Linked DNA regions of Arabidopsis thaliana. The protein of the gene in region 2 interacts with the protein of the main gene of each other region in a pairwise test. Each region holds a gene or a part of one and is shown on either strand. Other genes may lie near its edges. The genes, in order: AT3G63210, MPK3, RACK1B_AT and MKP2.

Evidence for each region.
Region 1: the proteins of MPK3 (region 2) and AT3G63210 interact in binary tests that used the Arabidopsis thaliana proteins (3 or more experiments, as listed by UniProt).
Region 3: the proteins of MPK3 (region 2) and RACK1B_AT come close enough for resonance energy transfer, tested with the Arabidopsis thaliana proteins (one study listed by BioGRID).
Region 4: the proteins of MPK3 (region 2) and MKP2 interact in a protein complementation assay, tested with the Arabidopsis thaliana proteins (one study listed by BioGRID).

What each region holds. Positions count from the first base shown.
Region 1 is NC_003074.8:23,350,728-23,358,460, forward strand, and holds AT3G63210 (mediator of aba-regulated dormancy protein (DUF581)), read right to left. Parts: upstream 4,754-7,733; 5' UTR 4,180-4,753; coding exon 3,458-4,179; intron 3,378-3,457; coding exon of another isoform or gene 3,362-3,377; coding exon 3,292-3,361; coding exon of another isoform or gene 3,264-3,291; 3' UTR 2,787-3,263; downstream 1-2,786. Other genes in the region: AT3G63215 (uncharacterized protein), read left to right, coding at 3,264-3,377, 3,503-3,613; AT3G63220 (Galactose oxidase/kelch repeat superfamily protein), read right to left, coding at 6,813-7,733. UniProt on the Arabidopsis thaliana protein: May act as an adapter to facilitate the interaction of SnRK1 complex with effector proteins, conferring tissue- and stimulus-type specific differences in the SnRK1 regulation pathway. Involved in seed dormancy control.
Region 2 is NC_003074.8:16,752,667-16,760,625, reverse strand, and holds MPK3 (mitogen-activated protein kinase 3), read right to left. Parts: upstream 4,056-7,959; 5' UTR 4,034-4,055; coding exon of another isoform or gene 3,842-4,033; 5' UTR 3,709-3,841; coding exon 3,551-3,708; intron 3,468-3,550; coding exon 3,338-3,467; intron 3,250-3,337; coding exon 3,112-3,249; intron 3,011-3,111; coding exon 2,678-3,010; intron 2,586-2,677; coding exon 2,402-2,585; intron 2,320-2,401; coding exon 2,150-2,319; 3' UTR 1,752-2,149; downstream 1-1,751. Other genes in the region: NAXT1 (nitrate excretion transporter1), read right to left, coding at 1-278, 355-872, 956-1,173, 1,274-1,373; AT3G45645 (uncharacterized protein), read left to right, coding at 3,842-4,033; AT3G45630 (RNA binding (RRM/RBD/RNP motifs) family protein), read left to right, coding at 7,436-7,528, 7,733-7,860, 7,951-7,959. UniProt on the Arabidopsis thaliana protein: Involved in oxidative stress-mediated signaling cascade (such as ozone). Involved in the innate immune MAP kinase signaling cascade (MEKK1, MKK4/MKK5 and MPK3/MPK6) downstream of bacterial flagellin receptor FLS2.
Region 3 is NC_003070.9:17,979,719-17,986,998, forward strand, and holds RACK1B_AT (receptor for activated C kinase 1B), read right to left. Parts: upstream 3,660-7,280; 5' UTR 3,551-3,659; coding exon 2,672-3,550; intron 2,361-2,671; coding exon 2,259-2,360; 3' UTR 1,918-2,258; downstream 1-1,917. Other genes in the region: PEX3 (peroxin 3), read left to right, coding at 4,233-4,246, 4,427-4,588, 4,679-4,869, 4,943-5,073, 5,181-5,251, 5,356-5,392, 5,458-5,585, 5,673-5,888 and 1 more; AT1G48640 (Transmembrane amino acid transporter family protein), read left to right, coding at 6,640-6,702, 6,803-6,957, 7,211-7,280.
Region 4 is NC_003074.8:1,839,620-1,847,000, reverse strand, and holds MKP2 (MAPK phosphatase 2), read right to left. Parts: upstream 3,589-7,381; 5' UTR 3,485-3,588; coding exon 3,395-3,484; intron 3,284-3,394; coding exon 3,148-3,283; intron 3,065-3,147; coding exon 2,944-3,064; intron 2,581-2,943; coding exon 2,424-2,580; 3' UTR 2,297-2,423; exon of another isoform or gene 2,075-2,296; 3' UTR 1,987-2,074; downstream 1-1,986. Other genes in the region: MUTE (basic helix-loop-helix (bHLH) DNA-binding superfamily protein), read right to left, coding at 375-470; NIP7;1 (NOD26-like intrinsic protein 7;1), read left to right, coding at 4,067-4,207, 4,384-4,608, 4,845-5,042, 5,250-5,311, 5,412-5,613; AT3G06090 (uncharacterized protein), read right to left, coding at 5,989-6,228. UniProt on the Arabidopsis thaliana protein: Has a dual specificity toward Ser/Thr and Tyr-containing proteins.

The DNA.
Region 1 (7,733 bases), 6.6 Mb from region 2:
GAAATTATTTGGGACCATATTCGCCCACCAATACCACGCTTTATTCAATATTATTTTTATATCACAATTATGCGTTCTGCATACAAAGTGATAAAATAAATTAACCTAAAGCTCGACCATGCACTTTTCTTTCTTTTAAAAATTCGTGTTTTTGCAAAGCCATTATAACGATCCTAGGCGGGATGATATTTGAAGATAGCATACAACAATCATAATGAAAAATGAAAATAATTTCTATATTATAAAACGATTAAAAACAATAATTCATTAAAATGTGATTAATAAGCCTAAAGTTGTGTTTCTGTTTAAATTACTCATCAATGCGTCGAAGCACGTAGCCCCCGTTAAATGCAAATGTGGCGTCCTTGTGTAATTAATAACTCCAACTATATGATGTGATTAAATATCTTTCTTTTTATTTCAAATATCAAATAAATAAAAAATAACATTAATATAAAGATTGCTAATAGTGTTCAATGCAAATTTCGATATTCAGTATATCGACCATACAAAGAATAATCAAGTACTAATATTTATATGGAAAAAGTAAAATAATTAAGAGTTTGTCATAATATATTGTTTTATATAATATCACGTTATATATATGAGATAATGCGTATAAGAAGAAAAAGAATATAGATGTGTACAGAATCCAATTATCCAAGTACAAATGTTTTAGAAATAACGTTTTGCAGCGTTGTTGTATAAGTACATAACGGATCATTTTGGCGGCGATTGAGAGATTCAAAAACGTCAAAGATGAAAAGATTCTCGTTTGTTTTTATTTCTTTATTAAATAATAACAATAGTGATTATATGTTAGCTTTATGATGTGCTTAGTTAATCCCAAAATCGGCTATGATGAGATTTAAGAAGCCCCAAATAAATAAAGTATAATGTTTGTGGCCCTTCTTCAATTAATATAAAGAAAACAATAGTGAACAAAAAAATGAAGCCGATGAAAAAGAAAAAGTATTCAACTGTTGCAAGATATAAATATTTGAATTTATCCGTTACAATATACGAGTATGGCAGATTGATTTATTTGTACAAGTGATCCAAGCATTTGATGTATAAGTAAGTAGTAAATCAACGAACAACAAATACAGTAGAGAGAGTATGAAAAAGAAATACGAGTCAACCAGCCAACAACTAATTTCAAATATAAAGTCGAATGTTTGATGGATCCAATAATGCGAGTTATAGAACATATAATAATGAAAGAACGTCCATATATTATTTATTAATCGAACTACTTTTTTTGTTGAATGTGAACGTACAATAATTGATTTCTACTATATGTATATGCAGCAAAATAATCGTGTTGTTTTTAAAATCAATGCATAAGTCATACAAATTTCAGTTTTGAAATTGTTAAGGTATTAATTTAATCACAATCACGAACTTAACTATATTTTTGCTGTGTAACTGATTAGTAAATAACCTGCTATATTTTAAATAGTACATATGCTTTTTTTTTTTTTTTTTTTTGGCAAAAAATTGTACATATGCTTATAATCTAAAACTTATAAAAGAGAAAAATACAAGTGGTTGACAAAATAAAAGAAGAGGAAGGAAATATCGGCACCGTCATGTGTATAATAGACCTGACCGCACACGTGTGGGTTTTTGTACTTGTCATAAGTTTTGCTTTTTTATTTTTGTTTGCTTAAAATGGTGTTTAAATAAAATAAAAGAAAGGAAGTCGAATCTGTAATATAAAAGTGAAGTCAGGGGCAAATGTAATGGATTTTGCTAAGATCTTCTTGTCTGTCTTCTTCAAATCCTTTTTTATTTTTCTTTACAAATGAAGGCAACTTGTGTGTTACACTGTTTGTTACATAAAAATAGTTTTTTGTCGCATAGCGACGACAATGAACATAATACGGACGAGAACCTCTGGCGGAAACCTCCACCACCATTCGGCCCAACTTTTCTATTGATAGATCTCTTCCTCTTCTTTTTTTTTTGTAACATTTTTCTTACAACAAATGATTTACCAAAACAAAAGATTCATTATTACAAATGATTCCTTATAAATTTCTACTATGTGTGTCACGGGAAACCCAAAGGGACAGTACATTTTATTTATTTTACTTTATGACTGACAGCTTTGTTTCTTCATATGTGTATCTTCAATTGTTCATTCTTCATAAATCACTTGATTCACAACAAATACTATCATGCATGATTATTATAGAGTATGCAGAAAGCTGACATTAGACTCAGAGTCTGAACACATTACCAGATTAATTTTGGTATCTCCTATATGGCTATATCTAGTATATACGACCTTCCTCTCATTAGTCTTAACATCTACTCCAACATCCATGTTGCATATATTAAGGTACTGGCTGATTCGAATAATAAACTTAAACATGATACTGACACAACTTCACACTTTGTTTTTACAATTAAATGGTTCCGTGAGATTGGGCCTTCTAGCTGCTCTGATATTAAATTTACGAGTCTATTCCAAAAAAAAAAAAGTGATGAGGGTCCTCAACATTTAGTTATCTGTCTTGCAAATTGGGCACGCCACCGAGACATGCAATCATCCCTGGGACTCTAACCTCATTACTTGCGGACCCTATTAGAAACGGCCCATATCTGGCCCGTATTATTAGGGACCGGCCTAATTATGCATGATATAGCCCATCGATATTTAACCACTCAAAATCCCCTCCCCTGCATCTATGGTTTGATCTGGTTTGGTTTGATTGCGATTAGAGTTATTATATACTTACTTGTAAACACCAAATCAGACTCATTTCACAGGATAAAAACACGAGTTCAATGGCTTCCCAGAAACCTTTCTCGACTGAAAAATGAGTCTGAGTTCAGAATCTGAGGTAAACGGTAACAAAACTTGATATATTGTTGTAACTTGGCGCTGTCAAAGTTAACAAAATTAAATCAAAAAGCAAATGGCCTTATAGCAATAACATTTTCCCTCTACAAGACCGCATAGAGCCACGACGAATGTTAGGTTATGGAAAAGACTGATGCTTTTGATATTTTCTGATTCAGATGGCAGTATTCTGCAAGTTTATGATATTATTGAGCCCTCCGAGTCACTCACTCTCATGACACAAAGAAAAAAGTTATCAACTCTCTCTCTATCTTTCACATATCTGCAGGCGAGAAAGGTTATGACTAGAAATACAAATACCCCCACCCAAAAAAAGAAAGAAAGAGAAGAAGCATCAGAGAACTAAAAGAATAATACAAAAGTAGATGATGCTGTGACAAAATCAATAAAAATGAAAAGAGATGGAGAAGGAGTGCTAGCTAGGTCTCCATTTGATCAAGAAGCATCTCCTGGTACCTGCACTCGCTGCTGCAAAAACCTTTCTCTCCCCTGCACCACAACCATTGTGATTAAGTTTAGTTTTGGAACCACTCTATGATCTGATTAAAGTCAAATACATAGATAAAAGATTGTGGAGGTACGAACCTGTATATGTAGATGTCCTGTTTCTGGTCAAGATTCTTCTTGCAGGTGAAGCAACGGCTTAGAAAACTCTCGGTGCTCTTGGTCTCCATGGCTGGTTGGGGTAAAGGAACAGAGCAAGGAGTAGCCTCCACGAAAACAGAGTTGTCGAAGATATGAGTGATGGTTGGGTTAGGACCGTGAGAGATGACGCGCGTGTAGTCCTCCGTCTGGTCAATCTCGCTCACTGCTAAGACCTTCGTTTGGACACAAGGACTAAGTTGACAAGGAGGATATCTGATGCCGGTTTTAGTTCCAAAATCAGCTGATGATGGGATCTGGACTCTGAGCTTTGACCCGAAAAGGACCATCTTGTTGACAGGTTTTCTAGAGTGGTCTCTGTTACTGTCTCCGTCTTTCACGAGATCGGCTAGGCCAAAGACGTCTGGAGAGTGAAAACGCTGGGGATTAGGGATAGTTGGCTCGAAATAGGAAACGGGTTTAGGGTTTTTGGAGGAGAAGATGGATGGGTTAGCTTCGAGTATAGACGTAGGGCTAACGAGTGAGAAATCAGAGTCAAAGGGAGTCATCATCATCTTAGAAGTGAAAAACCTAAACTTGGGAGAGCTAAAGAGAGATGGTGAGCAGTGGCAAGTGTTAGGCTTTGGAGGTGGAGGTTGATCAGCCATTAACAGAGATGTTTGTTTCTTAGTCGTCACGGCTGCTCTAGGTTTGTTTCTAAGCATAGTTAAAGACCGGTGAGGGTAAGGATCATAACTCAGTAGCTTCCATGGAGAGAGGAAAGCAATGAGTCTGCGTAAGAGAAAATATCTAAAATGAAAGAGAAGAAGAATAGAGAGAATTTGGTACAATTATTGAGAAACTCTGACTGCTTCTGGTATTAATGGGGTCTCTCACTCCTATGAAATGATGATCCTCTCCTCACTCGCAAAAATCAGATTAAAAGTTGCTTTCACTTATCTCTTTCCTCTCTTCTTTATTCCTTCCAAAGAGCGAGAGAGAGAGAGTGATCTCGAGAGACGGGACGTTGTAGATTTAACCAAGAAATGCATGCAACTTTACGGATTTACCCCTTACATTTATTAACACATAGAGATCTCAATTATTTTCGATCCATTATTCATATTAGGGACCGGATATGATTGAATGTGTATCGTACTCTCTTTTTTTTGTCGTCGTGTATTTTAACAACAACATACTACATTTTGGGTCGACGATAAAAGATTGGAAACATCTTTTGCAAGATTATCGAATTTGTACTCTCTCTTTATTTTTGTTGCATGTACAAACTTTTATTTAGTTTATTAGGTATACACTTGAACGGCGATACATTCATTATTTGTGCATTGATGTTTGGGCCTCTGAAACACAGGCTCTCCTTTTATTTTATACTACTATTTTTCATTTTTGTAAAAAAAACTGTGAGTTATTTATTTCTTACAATTTGTATCCATTATTATATAATACGGCATTTTGTCATTATTTCGTTTGTCTTTCTCAAATCATAATTCACTTTCATTTGGGTTTCTTGTTTTATTAATCAAAGAATCAGTGACGTTATTTAAAAATGTAGGAACAATAATCAGTGAATAATGTACATGTTAATCTATACTACTAAATATTTTATAAACAGTTTGTGGATAAAAAACAAATGTAATCAGAGGGGGGTCCACAGTTGCACCTGCTTTGCTTAATCCAATAATTAAGTTCTAGATAAGCGCCACGTGTGTTTGTCTACTAGTAAACGTTTGATTGAATGGTCTTGATGCGTTTTACTCCATTACAAGACAAATTATATAATAATAATCACTTATTTGACCCAAAAAGTTATATAACTCGTCGAACCACTTTTATTGTTGTTGATCTTGTTTTTCTCGAATCCCATCTAACTATCGCATTTTCATTGTTTAAGCTCGTCAACTTCTGATTCATACCAAGATTCAAGAAAAAACAAAAAGAGTTTCAAGTTGCAAGATTATGTATAATCATAACTTCACTTACAAATAATCAACGCAAAAGAAAACATAAATATTACTTGGTAGCCTAGTAGGGAAAGAAAAGTAACGTATTCGGATATAATACGATAGAGGAAGGAATTAGTGATAGACCCACGGTGGGGCTAAAAGGATGTGGACAGGAGTGTGTAGGTCCTCTCCTCCTCCTCCTCTACGGTTTTCGCTATTTCTATGACGTTGTGATCATATTGGCCTTTTCTTCTCCCCCTGTCGATTCAAGCTTTTATTTTCTATGTTTTGTTTAGCCAAGGAAATTTTGTGTATTTGTGTCTTGTTTTCATGCCTCAAGGTCTCTTCTTGCCTCAATTGGGTTTCTCTTTTTTTTTTTTTTTTTCTTTCGGATAAATCTAATTTTGTGAATATCCATCTGATTAATTTTCTTACAAATAAGAAGAAACAAATAGCGACTACTCATCCATATATGCCATTGAATGTGCTATTTCTTTTTAATGTAATGAGTGTGTCCATCGATTCCGTAATTGTGTTTGTAACCCATTCAGTCTAACAACTTTGATCCCTTAATCACTACGACTACTACCAGAAGCATACGTATATGTTTTGACTCCCAATCCATAGACGTGACTCTTGATAGATTGATTTCCTTCTAAACCACCTGACGTAGAGGTTATAAAATATAATTGGAGTGGAATCAGCACTAATCATTCATTTGATTCGATACTGAAATTTTTATATTTCTTTCCATTTCATGATTTCTTTGATGACTCGCCATCTTTAATCATGGTTATTATTAATTCGAAAGTGGCACCGATATATTGTGTTTATCAAGGATATAGTCATATCACCCTAATTACCAAAGATAAAGAAAGCAAATGAGCAAGATAATGAGAGGTCCATTTTCTTAAATCATTGCTTCTTTGTCAACATGTCTTAAATCCGAATCATTACTCTTATACACTACAAAATACTCCTTAGAGCTTGAATACCACAATTTTGTTTTTCTGTTCAATGACCAAATATCTCCATGTTCAAACCCATATTGCTCTTTCAGATTGTTTAAGGCCCAACACAAAATAACTTATGCAACCTGTCCAAACCCAACCTGATATCATTCCCACATATAGCCCAATCAATAGACCTATTTTTTTTTTTTTTTTTTCACCAGACTCATAAATGATATTTTCTCAAGACATAAATCTGCTATTCGTTTATAGACAATAACCAGGCTTTGATGACATTTTCTCAAGACATAGCTGCTATTCGTTTATTTTCATTTCTCAAAGAAGATTTAAAAACAATAATGCTCACAACAGTTAACAAACAGGAAGAAAATACAAAACAAAAAAGAACTGAAAGACGTCATAATGAAGCCACATTCCCATCCATCAGATTGTCAACTGCGTGCAGCCAAGGATCGTCCCACGACACCTTGTCATCGGCGCCACACTCCTCCAGGCCGGACGATCATTCCCAACTGTCAAAGCGTCGACATCTGACAAGGGCTTGATGTCCCAATTGAGCCTATCAGGTCCGATCACTCCTCCTACGATCAAAACCTCATCACTCAAACTCGTCATCGCCATTCCGATCCTCCGCTTAAACTCTGAGGCCGATGCAACCATCTTCCACGTGTCACCTTCTTGCTTGAACACCAGCCCATGGCTCATCACGTAAAGCACGTCCTCAACGACCACCATTGGACCTTGCGGCCAGCCATAGTCTTTGACATCCCACCCGAGTTTAACGCTCTCAAGAACCTGCACCGTGGACAAGCCTTTGTGCAAGACGTGGACTTTCCCGTTTACCACTAGACCCGAGCAGGCAGAGTTATGAGTCTGGTGGAGATCTGGGATGGATGTCCAGACGTCATTCTCAGGATCATACATCTCCGCTCCAGATATGGATTTCCTGCAAGTGGTGAATCCGCCAGCAACAACAATCTTCCCTTGAAGAACGCAGCAGGCGAACATAGCACGAGGCACGAGCATTGAAGCGCGAGGAGTCCACTGTCTCTGTACAAAGTCGTAAGACCAGACCTGGTCAGTAGCAAAGGTACCGTCGTGATCCCCGGTAACAGGGCTGACAGCGTCGCTGCCACCGCCTAAGACAAAGAGCATGCCGGCAGTAGTGACAGCACCGAAATGGGCAAGGTGGCGGATACGAGAAGGAAGGAGAGGGAGGGTGAGCCAGCGATCACAGTTGGGACTGTAGACTTGCCAGATGTTCTCAGGATCGAAAGCACAGACGCAGAGGAGATGCTCAGAAGATCGGAGCTCTTTACGGACTCTGAAGAGCTCATGACTGCG
Region 2 (7,959 bases):
GGCAAGTGGAGAGAAGTGTTATGACTTGGAGAGAGCCTGCAGGGATTTTGAAGCTAGGACCAAGCCTCCGGTCCATCACCAGACCTTGAAGAACTGTTAAGCTTAGTTGCATTGCGATTGGAGTGCTCAAGAATATTGTGGCTAAGGCGAGAGGGATGATTCTTATGACTGCTTTGAAATCTTCCACTTGTTGAACGCTGCATAGTCTCCATGGATTGCGAATTGTGCCATCTGGTTTTACCTCGTCTTCCTGTTTCAATGCTGCACGGTTAAAGAACCTGCGTATTTGAAAACTCATTAGAACGGCCTCTCAGTGCAAGAATGAAACTGCGGTTTTCGAGCCGGTTTTTCTACCTGAAACTCTTTGTGGGCATTGTGATTGATTCATTGTGGTAGTCTTTTTCGTTGGTGGAAACCACAGCTTTTCTTTTGCGTAATGCTGCGAAAATGACGCATAGTAGACTTGTGAAGGGACTTCCCAAAGGCTTGTCATGCTTGTAGAATCTTTTCCCCGAGACGAAAACCAAAAAACTGAAGAAATTAGCGGCTACAGACAGACCAAACCCAAGGGTCCAGCTGATATTGTCTTCGGTGTAGACAATGGCGGTTGCACTTATAGCTCCGGCTAGATATGTTGTGAAGAAAAACCAGTTGAAAAAGCTTCCTTGGTCTTTAGTTTTTTCATACTGGTTCGCACCAGCAGTTGCTAATGTGAACCGTGTCCCACCTGTTCCTATAGAGGCTAGAGTTATGGCCGTGTAAAGGACTCCGAGCTGGGTTTTCGAAGGAGACTGGCATAGTATTGAAGCTGTTTCGCAGGGTCTAGGTCTTAAAGTGTCAAGTGAAGCAGTTAGAGTCAGTAGAGCTACACCCTGGTCAAGAGTAGAATTAGTGAATTTCTGTTTCAGAGAGAAACTGATAAAAACAAATGTCAAGGACTCTTTATTAACTTTACCATAAGAGAAATGAAAGCTGAAACTGAGATAACAGGAATGGTTCCAAAGAAAGAGTCAGATGCAATGGCTGCAACAGCTGGAACCATACAGATACAACCACTAACAATATTAGCAATCTGAGCCGCTGCAATGCTCTTCACGTTGAATTCCTCGATCAGGTAGACGATCAAGTTAAGTAACCAACCCCACGCAGCTATTGTCAAGCCTAACAACGTAGCTGCACCATAGAAAGATAAGATAAATTCAACTTCTTCTTCCAAGCTCTAATGGTTATGAAGTTATGAGAAATATAAAAACAGAGAAACAGAATCTCTCACCTATCATAAACGGAAAGGTAATCCAACCTCCACCACGGCGTTTGGTGCTTGAATCTGCTGATATCGCTGTTTCTGCATCGCCAGTAACTGAACTAGCCATGTCTCAAAATCAAGCAGAAATCTTTCACTATTTTTGTCAACAATGGCCTGAAATTCTGAAACATATATACAGTATAAGTAATAATACAGCAATGATGACTTTCTCGGGTCCACGATATTTTATTCTCCATGCGCAGCAGCTTCAAATAAAGAAACATTAAGAAAGTAAAACAAAAACTCAAAGGTTTCCGTTGATGCAAGTTGAGCCATCACTGTCTGCTTCGTAACAGCCTGTGTGAAGACAACATTATTTCCAACCCAACGTTTTAGAAGTCAACTCTAAATTGTCAGACAAAGGATATTACAATATTACTAAAGAAAGACACATTTGTGCCTAATTATTGCTAAGGAATTGACCATTTCTACTTCAATAATGCAAGCTACCTAAAGCCAATCCCACTAAAATCTATTGAAAGTCATTGAATGAGAATAGACAACTCACGGCGACAGCATTGACTCTGGCTCTAGCTCTATAATGTCTCCCACAAATATTGAGGCTCTGTACATTACAAAATTATATTCTCTCTTCTCTTTGTTTACTAGGGAAGACTCAAGAGTATGTGAAGTAAAAAAGTCTATAGATATTCTTTAATAACTGGAGTACTTTACATTGGAGCTACACTTAATCACTAGCAGTAAATAACATGAACAAACAAATAAAAGTTACAAGATTACATATGTGGAAGAAGTACATGAATAAAAGAACAGGCAAAGATACTAAGTAGCCATTCGGATGGTTATTGGGTAATACCAGGCATTCACGGGGCTGCTGCACTTCTAACCGTATGTTGGATTGAGTGCTATGGCTTCTTGGTAGATCATCTCTTTTATCTGTTCCTCATCCAGAGGCTGTTGTTCGAACTCAAAAGAGAATGGCTTTTGACAGATTGGCTCATCATTCGGGTCGTGCAATTTAGCAAGGTACTGGTGATTCAGAGCTTGTTCAACTGCACAAGATGGTATTTTCAGTTTTTAATCAAAACATAGTGATGGTAAGAAAAACCAACAGAGAACATGTATGAAACTTACCAGTGATTCTTCTGTTGGGGTCAAACGTCAACATTCTGTCAACAAGATCAATGGCCATTGGGTTAACATGAGAGAAAAGTTTAGCTAAGGGCTGACGTGGGAAGTTGGGAAGTTGCCGGATGTATCTTTTCGCATCCTCATTGTGAGTAAAACCGAGATCAGATTCTGTCGGTGTGCCAAGCAACTGCAAGATTCAAACAAATTCATCACATATTCCGTGAAAAGGCAGAATCTTTAAACCATGCTAAAATTACATAACTCTCTAAAATATTTTACCTCTGTCAATAAGCGCATTTGATGAACATGGTCTTTACCAGGGAACAAAGGCTTTCTATTCATAAGCTCCATAAAGATACAACCAACAGACCAAACATCAATAGCAGCTGTGTAATCTGAAGAGTTCAACAGAAGCTCAGGTGCTCTATACCATCTCGTAACAACATACTCAGTCATAAAATCATTCTCTGAAGTAGGTCTAGCAAGACCGAAATCACAAATCTTTAAATCGCAATTCGCGTTCAACAGAAGATTGCTCGGCTTTAAATCCCTATGAATAATGTTAGCTGAGTGGATATACTTCAGTCCTCGAAGTAGCTGGTACAAGAAGTACTGTTTCCATGACAACAAAAACACCAAATCAAGTATCAGTTTCATGTCTCTTCTATCAAATATAAATCCCAGAAAAAAGCCAAGAACAGTTTTTAGTTTACCTGACAGTGTTCTTCTGATAAACTCTGGTTAGATCTGATGATTTGATGAAGATCAGTATCCATTAATTCAGTAGAGATATAAACATCACTGAACTGTCTTCTTAGTGGTGGTGGAACAACATCTCTTATAGCTATAATCTGTTGCAATACCAAATCAAAAAACCCTAATCATGATTTATTTACTAATTTCTACAGATATTTCACAAAATCGAACAAAAACACTAACGTTTTCATGATCAAGATGACGAAGAAGCTTGATCTCACGAAGCGTACGCTTAGCATCCATATGATTATCAAAAGCATTAGCTATCTTCTTCATCGCTACTAGCTCGTTCGTCTCCGTATCCAACACAGAGCTTCACAAAATCAAAATCCAGAAATTAAAAACTCCGATCTCAAAGAATAAAACTTAAGAAAAAGCTCAGAGAAGGAAACATACCAAACGATTCCATAAGCTCCACGACCAATTGGTATAATCGGAGGACGATACTTAGATGTGATCTCGAATAAACTACCGAAGATATCGTAACTTATGAACTGTCCTCCGTGAGTTTCCACCGCCGGAAAATCCGTGTATTGGCCACCGCCGGTGTTCATTTCTCTCTCAATTGATCAAAGTCGAGATTCAGTGGTTGCTTTGAGGTTTGAAGTAGTGAATCTGAAGGTATTTGTATGGTTTTATATAACAGTCGGAGTCAACAGAGAGACTGAGATTGAGGATTGAGCAGAGATGAGTTTTCGCGGTAATTGCGAGGAAGAAGATGAAGAAGAAGAAGAAGAGAGAAGAGGGAAAGGCAGAGAAGATCGTGTGGTTGAGATTAGAGCCGCCTCAAATCGACGGTTTCTGTTCGTTGTTGACTTCGTCAACGTTCTTCCTCTTCCTAACGTCCTTTACGGTTCTGTATCTATCTATCTGCCATAGTTAAATAATGACAATAATAGTGTGGGGATTTTAGTAATTGTAATCTTAATTGGATCATATTCGTTTTAATACGATCAATAAATTAATTAATATACTCGTTTTATTCGTTCAGGAATTAAAATTTTGTATTGTTTTACGTTACGTAAAATTATATAACACTCGTTTTAAGTATTGTATTTTATGCGATTAATTTATTATAAGTATTGAATATCATGTGTGGTTTACGATGGTTAATAATATTATTATTATATAGACTAAATTAGTTTAAAAACAAAAGATACTATTCAATTATGATTTTTAAGTAAGCTATTTTCGATCAGAATTTTTTTATTCTCTTCTTTCTCTAAAATTTTGAGAAAAAGAAAAAATTCTTTGTTTCGTATGCCTTCCCGTATGTTTGTGAGGTTGTGTTCGGACATGGTCCAACTTTTTGTTTCAATACCGTACGGTGAGTTCTAGTTATAGTTACCGGTAAATCCGGTTTTATCGTCGCCGTTCTTTGGTATTTTGCCTTTATTTGTCTTTATTTCTAATAAACTTATTAAGTTTCTTCATTACGAAGAAAAAGTGGAAGTTTAAGAGTTTCGGCTTCATAAGCCTTGTCGTTCAAATTTTGTAGTAGTTTCACTTGATGGGCATGGCGACGTTAAGTCTCACCGGAAAATCTTTTTGGTTGCTTACGTCATTGTGATGCTTCATGCTACTTTGGAATGGTGGACGCTTTCCTTCATATGAAAGAAAGTTTCGTTCGTTTGTTAAATCTGAGTTTAATTTCGTTTGGAAGAGGAAGACTAGATGTGCAATTTCTTTAGAGGGTCTTCAGTGCTCTACTTGAAGCTTCTGGTTTTGCGGAGTGAACGAACTTTCGGTGGGTAGGCGTTCTTCGATCTCAGAAAACATGCCGGCAGTGGTTGGCATTCTCGACAAACACGTTCTTCTCGTCACGTGTCTGTGATTTCCTCATGAGGCGACACATGTCTCTGTGTTGTATGGCTTTCTTATCCCTTCCTCGATGGGTTACTATATTGGGCTCGGTTTGACTTTTGTTGTTGGACTTTTGTTTTAAGAAGGCTTTGTTTTAAGAAGAAAGAGATAGCAAAATAGGCAAAATCTCTATTTGCGCAAATTGGTTTTGGAGTTGAGAAGCGGATCTTTGTGGTTACTTTTCGTTAGGATATCTGTGTAAGAGGGCCTTGCAGAAGTTTTGGATTGATTGGATTGCACTCATGGCTCCATCAGATCGCGTGTTAAGTGTAAAGGTTCCCCGAATGGGGATTAAGTGAGAGATTCAGTTTCTCCCTTTTTAGTATCTTATTTTCTTTTGAGATTTCTGTAAGATTTACTCTTTCAATAGTTCATTGTTAGTTTACAAATTTGATTCGTCTTTTACCGACCAACATATACCATTTCATTTCCAATGAAAGCAGACAAGATAAAGCAGAACTTGCAGATTATGAAAATGTTCAATTCTGAGTAGATGAAAATTAAAGGAGATTATCTATATGTGTTTGATAATTTAATATCGTAATGCTCATTAGCCTATCGAATTCTGTAAGTGGAGTTTTCCACTATTGTAACACTTTGTTGTTATATATCAAAGCCAACACTTATGAAGAAAAAAAAGTAAGCTATTTTCGAGTTCGAACAAGATATTAATATTTAGTTTACAAATTCCTCTAAATAATCGTATGCGCTATATAATTTATGTTCCAACATTATCGTTAAAAATATTGATTTTGTTATGAAATTTATTTAAGTTAGAGTTCTATTTATGTTAAGGAATAACGATGCATCGTTAAACTTCACTGGATTATAACCTTCTAAAACTATTCCAAAGTCATCTAAAAGTGATTTCAAATACTTAACCTTATCAAAACAATGATTGTTTAAATTAGTTCTAAACTTTAAATCGAGTACTTCCTAGATGGACAAACGAAAATCATTAGGTACGGGCAAAATCGAAAGCTTATAAAGAGCTTCCAAATGCATGTGGATGATATTTCCCTTATGAACACTCTTTTGAAAAGAATGGCCTAGTCGTTTATTCCATTGTTCATCTGTAGAACGTTTAAAAGCTTGAAACTTGTGGACTGTTCAAAGGTTTTGAAGCAAGTCTCCATTGCAACAACTTAAAATGAGTTCTTCTTTGTTACATAAACTAATGATGCATGAGTGTGTTCTATCACTTTGTTACTTTTTCAGCTTAAAATAGTTTATCCCATATTCTTTTGCTTATTACTTTTTTTAGCTGTATTTTATTTTGAACATTGAGTTACTCTTAGATACAAAGATATATATGAAGGATAGTATTCGTGTATGTTTATGTTTTAATTTACGAGTAAAATATTTTCTGAAGTCACATGTTTGAGTTTTGTTGTGTACAGTATTCTTATTTGTAATTTGTTCTTAATCCGGTACTTAGATCATCATAATTTATAGAAAAATAATTATTTTGATGAAATTTCATTGTATTAGACGATTAGTTTTATAAAACTTGTAACTAAATTTCTAAATTTTTAGATTTATTTCCACATGATTTCTGAAAATATCGGATATGTAGAAGAACAAAAATTAAAATATAATCATTGGGTTGAAATAAAACCACCACCAAATTAAATCAGTCTTTAACCGACGCCAACCAAAAATAATCGAACCGGAGATAGTGGCAGATCCGTAATAAACTAATAATCTAAGGGCATAGTTAATTCTTCTTATTAGGCAATCGTGGATCTAGAAGCGGCCAAAATCTCAGCCATCCAATCTCTCTCACTTGTTGTCTCTTGCAATCTCCCACTTCTCTCAATCTTCTTCATCTTCCACAATCTCCGATCGAATCTCTCTACTCAGCCGTATGTTTTCACTTCTCTCGTAATTGACTCTTTCATGTTGGGATTTGAATCGCCGAATCTCAAAACCCTAATTCTGGTGTTTCGATTTTAGTTCCGGAGTAGTTATTGAGATCAACGTGTTTACTGATTCCGATTGTATGTAGAAATCTCATGGAGATTTTGGATTGTCGTCGATATGTTTTTTTTTCGATTGTACTGTTTCGTTGACGCGTCTCTTATTGAACCGTCGCGTCCCATGCACGGATTCATTATGGACTTTGGCTTGTTAGATTCTCGATTTCGATCTGAAAGTTTGATACTTTGGATTAGTTTAAGATTTGCTAACTCAATTTTATTGGATTAGTGTATAATATTAGTTTCTTTGATCGGGAAGATGTTCAATTTGAACTGTTATTAGTAAAACTGTCGATCTTTTTATTCTGTGCCACTATACACGAATGTTGCTGAATTACTAAAGTTTAGGTAGTTTTGTCAGTATGGTTTGCTTTTGCTTGTATGTCTTATGATGAGACATGATTCCAGTCTTTTTATCTCTGTCTTGTTCAGGAAAAAAATGAGTGATTACGGTGAAAAGACTTGCCCTTTGTGTGCTGAGGAGATGGATTTGACTGACCAGCAATTGAAGCCTTGCAAATGTGGCTATCAGGTCCAGACACTCTCTCTGATTTTCATTGTTTTTTGTGATCAGGATTAAAAATTAGGTTCAGTTGTGCTATGGTTTACTTTGAAGGCTTGTGGTATATACTTAGAGCATACCAATTTATACTTATTGTGGTGGCCTCAGAGATCATTGACATTTGTTCTGCTGATAATTTTCTGATCTGATATGTATTTACCTACAATCTTACAGATTTGTGTTTGGTGCTGGCACCATATAATGGACATGGCAGAGAAAGATCAATCAGAAGGGCGCTGTCCAGCTTGCCGCACTCCATATGACAAAGAAAAGATTGTTGGGATGACTGTTGATCAGGAGAGGTTGAGATATGATATGACACCTGAGATGTGAACTTTTGTTCAGTGTCAGTTTTAGTTTGCTGATGTTTCTTATCTATTTTCTGTTCTCAGACTGGCCTC
Region 3 (7,280 bases), on a different chromosome or scaffold from region 2:
AACAACAAGAGAATCAAGAGAAGGGGAGTCTACGATAATCACGTTGATGAATTACAAACTTTGTTTAACGAGTCTCGTCGTCGACGTTGACCCATATATAGAGCACAAAGGTAAACTAACTTGCTTTAATCTTGAGCATCAAGTCAAGATATCTCAAGTCTTTTACTATGAGGGTTTAATTTTTATGCGTATTGAAAGACGATACAATTACTACTAGGCTTGTGGTTTGGAATCCGTATTGGGGGCAAACAAGGCAGATCAAAACCCGATATTCTCACCACGCATTCTCCGGAAGGGATAGTACGTACATGTTCAATTACTCTCTCGGATACGAGAATAAGAATTCATGTCGCAGCCACAAATTATTGAGGTTTATAGATTATCATTGGAATTATCGCGGCCTACACCAATTTTTTTGGTATGAAATCTACGATTTTGACTCGGATTTATGGACAACTCTTGATGTCACTCCACACTGGTTTATAGTTATTTCTCAAAGTGGTGTTTCCCTCAAGGGAAACACATACTGGTGTGCTAGGAAGAGGAGCGGCGGTTATAGCGATCACATTATTTGTTTTGATTTTACTAGAGAGAGATTTGGACCGCTTTTGCCTTTGCCGTTTAGCTTTATTGATCGTCATCATTCATGTGTGATTTTATCTTGTGTTAGTGAAGAGAAGCTTGCAGTTTTATTTCAGTACAAGGACCACTACTATAAAAATGTAGTTGAAATATGGATTACAGCTAAGCTTGAGGCCGAAATGGTGTCGTGGAGCAAGTTCTTGAGAATAAATACGGGGCCAATTATACACACGAGTTTCTTCATTAACGAGGAAAAGAAAGTCGCCATCGGGTTTAATGACAATCGCAAAACAATCAACATCATTGGCGAGGCGGGGTACTTTAGAGAATTGGATCTTGGAGAACATGCAGAACCATATCGTAGGCGACATGTTTTCTCTTATGTTCCAAGTTCGGTCCAAATCAAGGAAACTGCACCAGGGAACATAAAAAAACATCAAAGCAGTATAGAAACACGTCTATTTGATCGAAACATGTTGAGACTTGTCGCATTTGAGAAGAAAGTATCCGAGTAACCAATATGAGGTAGATTAGCCTAATTTGTTAACAAAACAGAATATAATAAAGTCTATATTTCTTTTTCTCAAATTTGCAAAGCCTAAATTAGTGCAAAAGGTTGTATTATATCATCTAATGACGATAGAAATAGTTTTGCTGCGGTTTCTCTAAATCATGCAGAGCTAAACGATCTATAGTTTTAGTAGTTTGATGTTCCATTCTTGATCAACCTTAGCTTATTTGGACTACAAAAAAAAGCATGATATAAAATGGACATGTTGTCGAAGCCTACGGAGCCTAATTAAGATCTTGTTATATACGTGGACTTGGGTATTGGGTGTAGAATATCTAAAAGATAAGAAATATGAAAAATTTTACAGAGCAATTAAGCATTGCTTTGTTGAGCGGCTTATGATGCTGAAACATGTCATAGGGGGTCTTGGTTTCTTCGGAAAAGCAGTGAAAACAATCTTGATTGCACTTTTGATTATTGACTATTGACTCGTGCATGGTTTACCTCATTTGGTGTTTTTGAGCATGAAGAAGTTCTCAAGTTTCAACCTTTGGCTACACACAAAATTAATGCTAATAAGACCCATTTATCAGAGACTCTGTGCCGTATGGAGGTAAGCGTCTGGGTCAAGAACTATTCTATATGGGCTATATTCGGTTCATGTTAACTGAGAATTCGTATAACATATGGCCTTGTCGCCTACACTTTAGACTACTCTTAGTTTTGGTAGAGTAAGAGATGGAAAACCAAATATCATTAAGTACAAAAAGATAAACTGGTTGGTGCATTGGTGTTTAGAGATTCTTTTGAAAGGGTTCGTGTTGTAGTTAAGATGTAACCACTGGAAAAGTAAAGGCTAATAACTCCTTGAAGTTTTCAGATTCCTAAGAAAAAATTCTTGCTGTTATACAGTTAGTCATCAACCTAAAGCCATTTCTACTTTCTAGAGGATACAAGTAACAACTTCAAATCAGATTCTACGCCGTGTACTCAGACTCAGTGTAAGAAAACAAATATGAAACAAAATCAATGTATCAAAATATCACATTTGTGGATTCTGAAAATAGAAAAGAACAAAAAATAAATCCTCAAAACACTAATTCAGAAGAGAAGACTTTAGAGTCGATGGAAAAATTTGGAGAGAATAAAGAAACTTCTTGTCTCTCTAGTAACGACCAATACCCCAAACCCTGATAACTCCATCAGTGTATCCACTGAACAAAGTGTTTCCATCTGCACTCCAGTTCAAGCTTGTGCAGTAGATCACCTGCATTTTACATTCCACATTAGAACATATATAAACCACCTCAGACCAAAGAGTAACCAACAAATCAATATGGAATCACTTCAGACACTACAATCTAAGAAATCAGAGACTAGAGCTAACTTAAAACCAGGTTTCTCAATCTAATGTTAGCTACTCTCTTACGTACCAATCAAATCTTGTGAACTAACTTCACATGAGAGTATTCAGACCTTCCTTTATGAAAATCTCATCTTTTAAGGCAACGGCTAACTAATTCACAGAACTTAGAACTAGACAATTAACCATAAGATAGAGTGAGGAGAAATAGATACCTTGGTCTTGTTTCCGATTCCAGTAGAACCATCAGTCTTTTCAGCCTCAGCCTTAAGATCAACCTTCAAATCCTCAACAACAGACTTACTCTCGAGATCCCAAATCCTAATGCTATTCTCTGTTGCTGCACACAACCAGTACCTATTGGGACTGAAGCAAAGTGAATGAATAATAGAGCCAGCTTCAAGAGAATACAACTTCTTCCCTTCAGCCAAATCCCAAAGCAAGATCACACCATCTTTGCCACCACTGGCACACAACGAACCATCAGGTGACACAGCCACAGTGTTCAAGTAACCAGAGTGACCAGCAAGAGTGTTCCTAAGCTTACAATTCTGAAGATTCCAGACCTTCACAGTTTTATCCCAAGAAGCAGATACAATAGTTGGCACAAGAGTATTAGGACTAAACCTAACACAACTAACCCATTCCTTGTGACCATCAGCTTCAGAGATGGTATACTTACACTCACCAAGCGTGTTCCAAAGCTTAATCGTACGATCACGAGAAGCAGAGACGATCTGACGGTTATCGGTAGAGAAAGCAACAGAGAGAACATCTTTCGTGTGACCAACGAAACGACGAGTAGATTCTCCGGTAGCGAGATCCCAGAGACGAAGCTCACCGTCCCAAGATCCGGAGAGAGCGAATTGTCCATCGGAGGAGAGAACAACGTCTTGAACGAAGTGAGAGTGACCAGTCATCCTCCGCTGAGCAACACCGTATGACTTGTCTTCCTTTGTGAGTTTCCAGAGGATGATTGATTTGTCACGCGACGAAGTTACAATCACGTCGGAGTTATCGACCGGTGTAGCAATGGCGGTGACCATATCAGTGTGGGCACACATTGTGCCTTTCAACACGAGTCCTTCAGCCATGGTTCAGGGTTTGAGGTCGAGATTTAGGGTTTCGGCGACAAAAATGGGAGAGGGCAAAATGGAGGTAACGAGAAACCGAGAGTATTTATAGTTAGAGATAATTAGGGTTCTTTGTTTTCATTTGTCAATAGTTTGGGTCTCTTCATTTGGGCCAGCATTAAGGCCCGGTATTCTACCCAACTTGGTTTCATGTTGGGACAATTATGGAACCGAGATTTATATCTTTCTGTTTGGAACGCTTAACCAGAATTGGTATAGCTTGTTACAAGTCAATTTGATAACCACATGAGTACATGACATGACAACTTTTTTTTCTCTCTTTTGGGCAAACCCCATGAGAACTCTACCGAGAAGTTATTGTCAAAAATTGAAATAGACTCAAAAGTCGGTTCAATTAAAGTAAACAAACCGAGTTTGGCCATTTCAACTTTTATTGTAAGAACTAAGAACACAACTTCGACTGTCCCTGTGGAAGATATAATTTTACATGTCCGAATTCCGGAGAAGAAAAAGATGAAGTGATTGATTAAATTGAAATCGATCACATCAACCATCTCTTTCTCTCGCCTGCAAAGTTATCTCCTTTTCAAACCGAACGAATCAATTCGGGAATCTTCATCTTTCTACGTGTTTTCTCAGCTATGTATCTCTGGGTTCGACTTCAGTAAAAGCTTCACCAGCCATGGATTTCGTTAGGTTCTTGTTCGCTTCATCTTTCTTTGTAATTGCTTACTGTTTTCGTGAAAATTCGAAATTTAGTGTTTTGCGTTCTCTATCTCTCTCTCTCTAGCACACTAATTCCAATTCCTTAGGAAGGGTTTTTGGTGAATAAAGTTAGGGTTTTTAATTGATTCAATACCTTGTGGAATAAATTAGGGGTTTTTGGAGGAAGCATAGAAGGAAGGTCTTGGTGACGGCTGGTTGTTTGGGAAGTGGGTATTTACTCTACAAACTATACAATTCCCATACTCGTAGGCTTGCTGATTTGGAACGAGAACTCGCTCACGAGCGTGAAAATGACGAAATCATCAAAACCCAGTTAAGTTCTGTGCTCATAAAAACTGATCCTTTAGACTTCAGTTCTTATGGATTCTCTAACGGACCTGTCTTGTTTGTACTCTTGTTTAGAATGAAAGCACATTTCGAGAGTATTCAGATGATTGTGGATTCGACCACACTGCCTCACGCAATGCAGTTTTTGAGTATCCGTATCAGCGAGGAGATCGATGTCTCTCATGTTATGGACAGACTGAACCAAGGGAAAGGAATGCTGAGTCCACCTGAGAAACTTCAGCTCTGGGATGAGCTCAAGATTTTGAGTATGCACTGCAGTCACCTACTCTTACTCTATCAAATTCTGTTTCTTACCTGTATATTCATGTTATTTGCCAGGTTTCACGAGGATGGTTTTGTCTCTGTGGTCTGTGACAATGCTTAGCTTATACATTAGGGTTCAAGTCAACATTTTAGGCAGACATTTGTATGTTGACACCGCTCGAGCTCTTGGCAGCTCTCATTTACTTGTAAGATAATATGCTTCCCCTCTTCTCTGTATTGGAGAATTTGCTGTTTATTAAACGATACTGCACATGTTCTTTACTGCTCTCATTTGCTCGCAAGTATGATTCAGTGTACTTTGCTTATCTCATCCCCAACAAGCTATTTCTCGGGGAAACTCACTGGTTGTTCTGTTAAGAACTTGTATAATTATGTCTCTAGTAGCTGTGTTTAATTGCGATAACGATTATGCATTTGACCTATCTGTGGACTAATACTCTGGAATCACCTATCTTTCTTTGATATAGTTCCAGATTACCTTTTAAAGCCACGGCCGCTTGTCCTGTGATCTGCTTGCCCTGTGAGCTTTCAACAGTGTATCTATTAAATTTGTTTCTTTTTGTTTGCAGGAAGAGGTAGATCTCATTGATAGAGATGATGAACAGAAGTTTTTGTCGAGTGCTGATTTTCTTGTCACCAATGCAATGCCAAGTTTGATTTCAGATATGCAGGGTTCAGCCGAGGAAGTCCTTAAAGGGTACATTGCAAAAATTCGTATCTAGATCGTTTATAATTTGACTATTGTTGGAAAAACTCTAATATGTTTTTGTGTGTTTAATTGCAGAAAGCAGTTAAAGGATGTAATTACCACAAGAGTTCTTCAAGAAACCGTGATGCAGATTGTAGATGTGTTTATGAGCACTGGAAGCCCACATCACTGGGTTGATTATTTAATGATGCCTCAAGACACAAAGCTTTCAAGAACCACAAGTGACTCTTCTGATGAAGCTGTGTCCAAGTTTCATCAACTCATGGTTGAGACTCGAGAAGTACTCATCAGGTAAGTAATGTCTATCTGCTAAGATAAACACACAATTTTTCCTCTTTCTTACACTCTTGGATGATTGTGGGGAATAAACTTATCTCTTGGTGTCTTTCTTGTTGCAGCACTGAATTCACAAATATAGTCGAAATTTCGCTCAAGTGCTTCACGGATGTGTTGGTAGAGGAAATGGAAACGCAGACTGAAGCAGGCGGTTTGGCTACAGGGAAACCATTGGCAAAGGTCTTACCACAGATTGAGAAGACAATGAATGTGATTACAGCTGAACCAAGCAAGAACCGGTTCTTACAAATCATCAGAGATCTGCCTGAAGTTAAACTCTTTTTTACTCTTTTATACGCTAATATGCCGCAATAGCAACTTTTGTTTGTTCTCTTAGAAATTCCCCAAAGTGTTTTGCTATTTGCTTTCTTTGTAGGGGGGTCTTTTAGCTTGAAAGAAATGCAGGAATTTTCGTGTTTTGAGCTTGTAGAACCAAAGTTGATTTCATTTATTTGTTTTGATTAGAAAAGAAGAGCATTTGTTTAATAGGACACTTGGAACTTTGATTAGAAAATAAGTAAAGCAACTTGCATTTAAAGTGTCCACGATCCCTCCACTGCGTTCGTGCCTTGCACACAAGTCAACGGAACAAAGGTTGACTTTTCCAATCTATAGCTGCTACAAGCGCAAGATTTTATACACATCCGTAATTAATGAGATTACCGGAGAACAAAAGTGTAAGAGTTATCGCAGGTTGTCGGATAAAATGTATATTCAGATGACAGATGGAGTTCCTCCGCCACCAGAGCAAAGTTCGTTAGACCACCGGGTTGGTCAGATCACCCTTTCATTCATTACCCATTTGTATTAATCTCATCGGCTTTACTTACGAAGACTAGTCTTGGTTTTCCATTTTTGATTACACATAGATTGACGAGCTTGAGAGACAGAAAGAGATCGATGATTGGCTTCCGATAACTTCATCGAGAAACGCGAAATGGTGGTACTCCACGTTTCACAACGTGACTGCCATGGTTGGAGCTGGCGTCCTTGGTCTCCCTTTCTTCATGGCCCAACTCGGATGGTACACAATTTTGATTGTTTTCAACACATTATCTTTTAACTTGTTTGCTTTTGCATTTATTTGTTAAGTTTTGTTCACAGAAGTAAGAAGATATATATTATTTTTAGTTTTCATCAAATCTTTGCAAATTTTGAACATACAAAAAGATGTAATTTGAATACATATGTAGTTTTTTAATTTCTTACTACATAAATTTACTTTTGATTTGATTAGTAATATTCGTGATATTACAAAGTCTTGTTATATATGTTAGGGGACCAGGCATAGCAGTCCTGATACTATCATGGATAATAACACTTTACACGTTATGGCAAATGGTGGAG
Region 4 (7,381 bases), about 15 Mb from region 2:
GGATTAACTATATATGTATGCCACAACATTTTGTTTTCTTCCAAAAATAGTAAGTTGGGAAATCCAATATTAGAAAGATTATCATGCATGATCCAATTATAAGTATCTAAGAGATTTTTGGTTCCTGCACAATTTTATCTGGGATCCTATTAAATAAGCAATTTGAGAAGGTTCAATTGTCTGTATAAATAAATTGGAATAAATCTTGAATCAACCTCTACGAAATAACTTCAACAAAAGAAAGCAACGATCATTAAAAAAATACCAATCTCTTCGAGAAAATAATTAGGATTGTGAATTGAGTTCTTTTTTCTATATCATCCAAACTAGCTAATTGACTATGAAGGGATCGAACAGATAAATATGAAATTTACCCTTTTGATGTAGAAACAAGGAGTCAAAGAACGAAGGGATTTAAGATGCTCGTTCATTTGCCTTCTTCGATTCCTTTCAACAGCGATGTGAGACATGATACTTAATTGATCAAGATTCTCTTCTGGAGTTCCTATATTGATCTATCAACGAAGAAGATGATCTTATGTTTTCACTTTGTTCGACACATTCTTCAAAACAAAGTCGTATTTATACAGCCGCAACAACAAGTGATAATTAGGGTTTAGAATTTCTTTTCAAGGTTCATAAATGCACTATGTCGCTGTCTCGTGACATTCTTTTGTCTCTTCTTGATTTTTCTCTTTCTCTCTCTTATTACTATCGATATGTATTAGAACAACGTAAAGAAAAAGGTATGCATACACAAAGATACGTCACGTTTGTGAAGTTGGATACATTTACATTTACATTCACTGCGTGAGGTCTTTTATGAATTTCAATATCGTATTTTCATTTAGAGTGCATGCCTTTGCACCACCTTCTTTTACTTCTAGTTTAATTTCTACACTTGTGCCACTTCTTTGTTCTTAATTACCGCGTGTCCTCACAAGAAAAAATGGATTTCTTTTACTCTTTATTAACAGATAATACACTGATACATACACAAAGTAAAAAAACATTGAATCGGACATATACTGGTGGAAAGGTTTAGTTTGTATTGAGATGTTTTACAGTTTTCATGGATCGATGAAGGAAAATAAGTACATCAAAAGCCGTTTTTTTTGGCGTAACATATGTTTTTTACTACTTACTATTAGCAAACATATTGGGTAGTATCTGATTGGAAATCTACGAAATTTCGAAGTGATGAAATGATTATGTGATTTCGCATGTTTCTATATGACATCGTTTTTGTGTAATTATGTTTCACATCTTCTATCCTATTGACTTTGTAAGATAAATGACAACATTGACAAGTAACAAAATATAAATAGTTACGACATAGTTTGTAGTTGAATTACAACTTTTTGTTTTCCTTAATCACTATGTCATTTAATACCACAAATTTCTCATTCGTGATGATTCCATCATTTTCCTTGATCACTAGTCGGAACCAATTTCCATTGGTTAATGGATAACTTTTTGCATGAAATATAGGTTCTACAAGAAAACATAAATTGATATAACCTTTGGAGCAAAGATAAAGTTCAGTTGTTCAGCTACCTGGACGGCTCATTAAGATTCCTCCCGAGAAGTATTCTTAAATTATATTATTTATTTTTAATAAAGAGATATTCGTAAAATTTCGGCTCTGTTTTGCAAAGTTAACAATATCTCAATTCATATTACAAACTTCATTAAATAAGGTTTAACCTAACCAAAAAAATTGCTATAGTGACAATATTTTTTCTATGAAACAAACCCACTTGGATAACACTTCTATTTGTGGTTTTGTTTGGACAAACGTTTATTTTTATGGTTCATATATGCATATCCACATATACATTATCTCCGAAGTCCCAAAACTGTGGAAGCAGCTGGAATGAAAATGTTGGTGACAAATGTTTGTAGCCGCAAATGTTAGGCTACAATACGTATAAGACATGCAAGGTGCATGCCCCATTTAATTACGAGTAAAGAAATCTAACTCCTACTTCGATATTCAATTTGTTCATGGTCTATCACGTTATATACAATATTGATCGACAAGGCAATGAAACAAGAAAAAAAAAAAAAAAAACTCACGTTCGATCAAGATATCGGTTAACATTCAATGCAAGGGTCGAAAACCAAACCAACCAATTTTCAGTCTGGTTTGGGTATGGGATTGGTTTGGTTAAATTCACACTGATCCTCCTAGAAAATATATTCATTGTAGTAACAGAGGAAATGTAAATTCTGCGTTTTCATTCATTTCAATTGGCTAATGGACATGGCAAAGTGCTCACCATCAATAGTTCACAAGAAAAAATCCTTCACAGCACGAAACCAATCAACTTTTTTGGCCAACATGGGGCTGAAGACACTTGCCGGAATTTCATGAGAGTTCATCATGCCACTATCTTGAATCTTCTTATCAGCTGAAGCAATCATGCATTACCTTGGATGGATTTTTCAAATTGCTGGAGCTGCGAAATGAAACCGGGATTAGGATATGCCTGATGTCGTCGGCTCCTTACAAGTTCCATAGCTTTAGAGAATCCCATTCCATGCTTTTTCATCAGGTAAGCCACCACTATAGTCACACTTCAAAGAAAAACTCAAACCAATCAAATTGTGTAAGTATATATATAACAGAACGACACAATAAGCAAATTACAGGTTCAAGAAAAACTCTTAATTTGTCCACAACAAAATGTAATCTGTTCACTACCATAACTCCTACTAATACCAGAATCAGCAAGCTATAAAAGAATCAAAGCAAACTACAAGATTCATATACACTTTTGCCAATCTGAGTCTCTGTAGTTTCCTATGGTTACTCAGTTGGCAATTTATATACACTTTTTTGATATGGTTACATAATTTGCAATTGGTTCACATTGATGATTCTTAAACACTAAATCTAATAACTGAATGTATGAGATTTAAGGGCAAAAGAATCAAAACCTCCTAGACATTCCCATGAAGCAATGAACCAAAACACCACCACCAGATTGAATAGCTTGGTCGATGAAGCTATAACACTCATCGAAATATACTGTCAAATCGGTCTCGGATCTATCAACCACTACACGATGAAGAACAAGTTTATAAAATCTCTAAACGAAAAATTTCAAAAACAGGCTAAGGATTGAAGAAAAAAAACCCAACCTTCAATGACTTTGTAGACAAAATCATCAGGATAAGGAGGAGCCAAGGCCACAGCAACGGTTAAGACATGAGTGATATTAGAGCTTTTGAGAAAATCCTTGTTATTCGCTTCAGCTACTGATCCTATGAACAATCCCTGAGAATAAACTCATCCAACAAACGATTTTTCGGAATTAAAGACTCCAAAACCTGAGAAATTCCAAGTGTGAAATTAGACGGATAGATAGAGAAGAGAAACGAAGAAAACCTGTTGGATCTCGCTGAGATCTTTGCCTCCTTCGAGTAGCTTCTGGGAATTAGCTTCTCCGACTCCGAAGAGATCAACCACTTTCTCCATCGCTCTCTGCTTCTTTTTTCAAAATTCCACTTGTACAGACGAAAACTCTTAATCAGAAAGATAAATAACCCTAGATTCGTAATTAATATTTAATAGTTTAGTTCGGATAGATGAATCAATAAGCACCAGTGGTCTAGTGGTAGAATAGAACCCTGCCACGGTACAGACCCGGGTTCGATTCCCGGCTGGTGCAACAATTTGTTTGTTTTTTTAAGTGAAAAGATTTAAGAGAGTCAACCTTTTTACACATGAAATGAAGATGATTAAAATAAATAGATGACTTAGAAATCACCAAATTAACATTAAGAAATATTGGTAGGTAGGAAGTGAAAATTGAACACAAGAAAAGTGTTGAGCACCCTCTTCTCCTTTCAGACTGCTTAACCAAAGGAATATAGCAGCACTCTACTAATTCTTCTTTTTGTTGAAATAAAATAATTACTCTTTAATTTCCATCTTCTTTGCGTTTTTCTCTCTATCTCTCTTTTTTTGTTCCATTAGATCATTCATAAAGCGGATCAAGCCACCTTGATTGTGACTTTCCTCAGTTCTTGATCACTATATCTTGAAGGAATTAAGAAGATGAATGGTGAGGCACGGTCAAGAGTAGTCGACCAAGAAGCTGGCTCAACTCCATCTACTTTGAGAGATGAAGATCATCCCTCGAGACAAAGGCTTTTCGGATGTCTCCCTTATGATATAGATCTCAATCCCCTACGCATTGTAAGCTTCATATATACACAAAATCATAGAATCAACAAGATTAATATCTCACAATACTTTTGTGTTAAACTAAAGAATTGGCTATGTCCATAATTACAAATAATTTTTTTGAAAATATTAAAATGTTTGTATAGAAATAAAATGCTAATTAATAGTATCTCCGGACTAATGTTTAGGTAATGGCGGAATTGGTGGGGACATTCATTCTAATGTTCAGTGTGTGTGGGGTCATAAGCAGTACCCAATTATCCGGCGGCCACGTGGGATTGCTAGAGTACGCCGTCACCGCTGGATTATCTGTGGTGGTCGTAGTTTACTCCATCGGACACATCTCTGGCGCCCATCTTAACCCTTCCATCACCATTGCTTTCGCTGTCTTTGGCGGATTCCCGTGGTCTCAGGTATAATGCATCCATCTCAACACGGCGTTTGACCAACTAAGAATTGTAGTTGAATTATCTTGGTCTTGATCGTTTGTTTTTGTTTATCTTAGCGTTTAGACCAAGATCAAATAATGTGTTTTTTTCATTTATCAACGAAGATGAGACGAGAAAACTTAATCTTTTGTTTGGACGTTTACAAATTATTTTTTATGAAAACTGAAAATTCTTTTTTGGAATGTTGTGTCACATGCCAGGTTCCGTTGTATATAACGGCGCAAACATTGGGGGCAACGGCGGCAACATTAGTTGGGGTGTCAGTGTACGGAGTAAACGCTGACATTATGGCAACAAAACCTGCTTTAAGCTGCGTTTCTGCATTTTTCGTTGAACTCATAGCTACGAGCATCGTCGTGTTTCTCGCCTCCGCGTTGCATTGTGGTCCTCATCAAAATGTAAGTGACCAAATCGATCTTCGTTACTCCTCTAGTCCGCTTGTTATAAAAAAATATCTTCTAATAAGAATAACACCTAAAATGTGACATTTACATGCTATTTCTTAATTATGAAATTTTATTTCTTTCCAAAGAGAAAATAAAAAAAATCAAACTCTCTGATTAGAAAACTTATATGCATTTAATTTTATATGTTATTTTGTGCAGTTGGGTAATTTGACGGGGTTCGTGATTGGAACAGTCATTTCCCTTGGAGTGCTTATTACCGGGTACTTAACTTAAAACTCCATTATCACCGTAAAGTATTGGAAAATAGTTATTTCATGTGATCGTATAATGCTAACGTTTTGTGGAATATGGTATGGTTAGACCGATTTCAGGAGGATCGATGAACCCAGCTCGATCACTTGGACCGGCGGTGGTGGCATGGGATTTTGAAGACTTATGGATTTACATGACAGCTCCGGTGATCGGAGCCATAATCGGAGTTTTGACATACAGATCAATTAGCCTAAAAACCAGGCCTTGCCCTTCTCCAGTTTCCCCTTCCGTTTCTTCACTTTTACGTTAATCACTTCAAAACCTAATATCTATTATACAAATAAACACTTTTGATTTTTTTTCTTGGTTAAGGTTTTTAAGTTTTTGTCATTACGTCATTAGATGCCGTGATGCGAAAACAGAGAGCTACTTATCGGATTGAAGATATAGAGGGTAAAGCAAATGAAAACAGGGGGCATTTTGTTCTTTTTACACAATGAAATGAACGCAATTAAAAATCTTTAGTCACATATATTTTATAGTGAAGCGAAATTCGTATGAATATTCAAATCCTTTCATTAGGTTATAAGAACCCACTAAAATACTCATATTACTAAACGATACCAACAAACATAAATTAGAGAAATGAAATTAAATATCTTAAATTATTACCCCAACTAAAAATTTAGTGGCCACAACCTCTACGACTTGGACCAGAAGCTAACTTTCGACCTGACCACAAATTCGCCTTCTTCTTCTTCTCCTCGTAGTTTCCAAACTCATTTCTTGAATCTTCTCCGACTACATTCATTCTCGTTGCCTTCTCTGCAACCCTGTTACAACCATGGTAACTAGCCATGGCAATGGAACAAGTTAAGTAAGCGACCAAGAGAAACACAACTTTAAGAAGCTTCTTCATCTTCATGTTCTTAGTGTCGACTACTACTTAAACTATAGATTCTCAACATTGATTCGTATTCGTGTATATATGCATGTTTATAGATTTTTGGTCTTTTGTTCTATGAGAGCTAATGCATAATTAGTTAAACGGTTCAAATGTTTATTGACTGAGTGAGTAAACAGTCTACGAATAGTAAGGTTTAGGTTGCTACTTTGTATTTAATGCTATTTCAGAACTTCTAATTTAAGAATTAAAGTAAATTTCATTAAATCATGATATGTCTGAGTCTGGTTGCGGTCTTGCAGAAATTTAAACCATGTGTTTTAGATCAAATATGATTCATTCCAACTAAATGTATTCAGATTTAGATGGTGCTCTCGAGAAATTGTTCGATCATTAGAAGAAACTAAATCATTTAGATGCGAGGATACTCACTAACTTGAGACTTGAGTAAAAGTGTTCTAAATTTTCCTTTTGAAAAGTACCAGAAGATTGTATATTATAATCTTTTTTGTCAAAATCGCAAATTCTAAAGCAAACCTTTAAAGTTGTTGATTTCGTAATGCAAAACTCAAACGCAATTGCAAGCACTTTAATTGATCAAATCAAAGCTGAACAACGAGATCCGTTTGCTACGTTGTCACTACTTTTAAAGTTCAAGCAAGTCAATACAAGAAGAAAAAAGTTAACAGAAATTTTTGATTAAGCAAAGTATTTACGATGCTCTCTGCATATATTATATAAAGCACATTAAAATCGAATATATATTTGAGCTTGACCATTACGCAATATATTCTCACTAGCTTTCTTTCTTCGTTTGTCATGAGATTCATTGTCCCCAAGAAAAAATGACATGTGATGTGTTACAAAACCTTAAGACAAGTGGCATGGACGGCTCCCGAGTCTAATTTCGAGCTTCTTCAATTTAATCATGTGTTTTCGTAAAAATCATTAGAAGATTCTTTCTCATCTGAAGAATCAATCATTTATGAATTATGCATAAACTATATAGGTTCAGCCAGGGTGTTTTCGAAAAGCTATACTCGAATAAGGTGTGGAACTGTGGACTAAAAAAACACACGATACGGTAGTCCGATCCAAATAATTGCAATTCGTTGAGTTATAGCCTATTCTAATACATTTTGCAGCTAGTAATAATATAATATAATAAAACTTT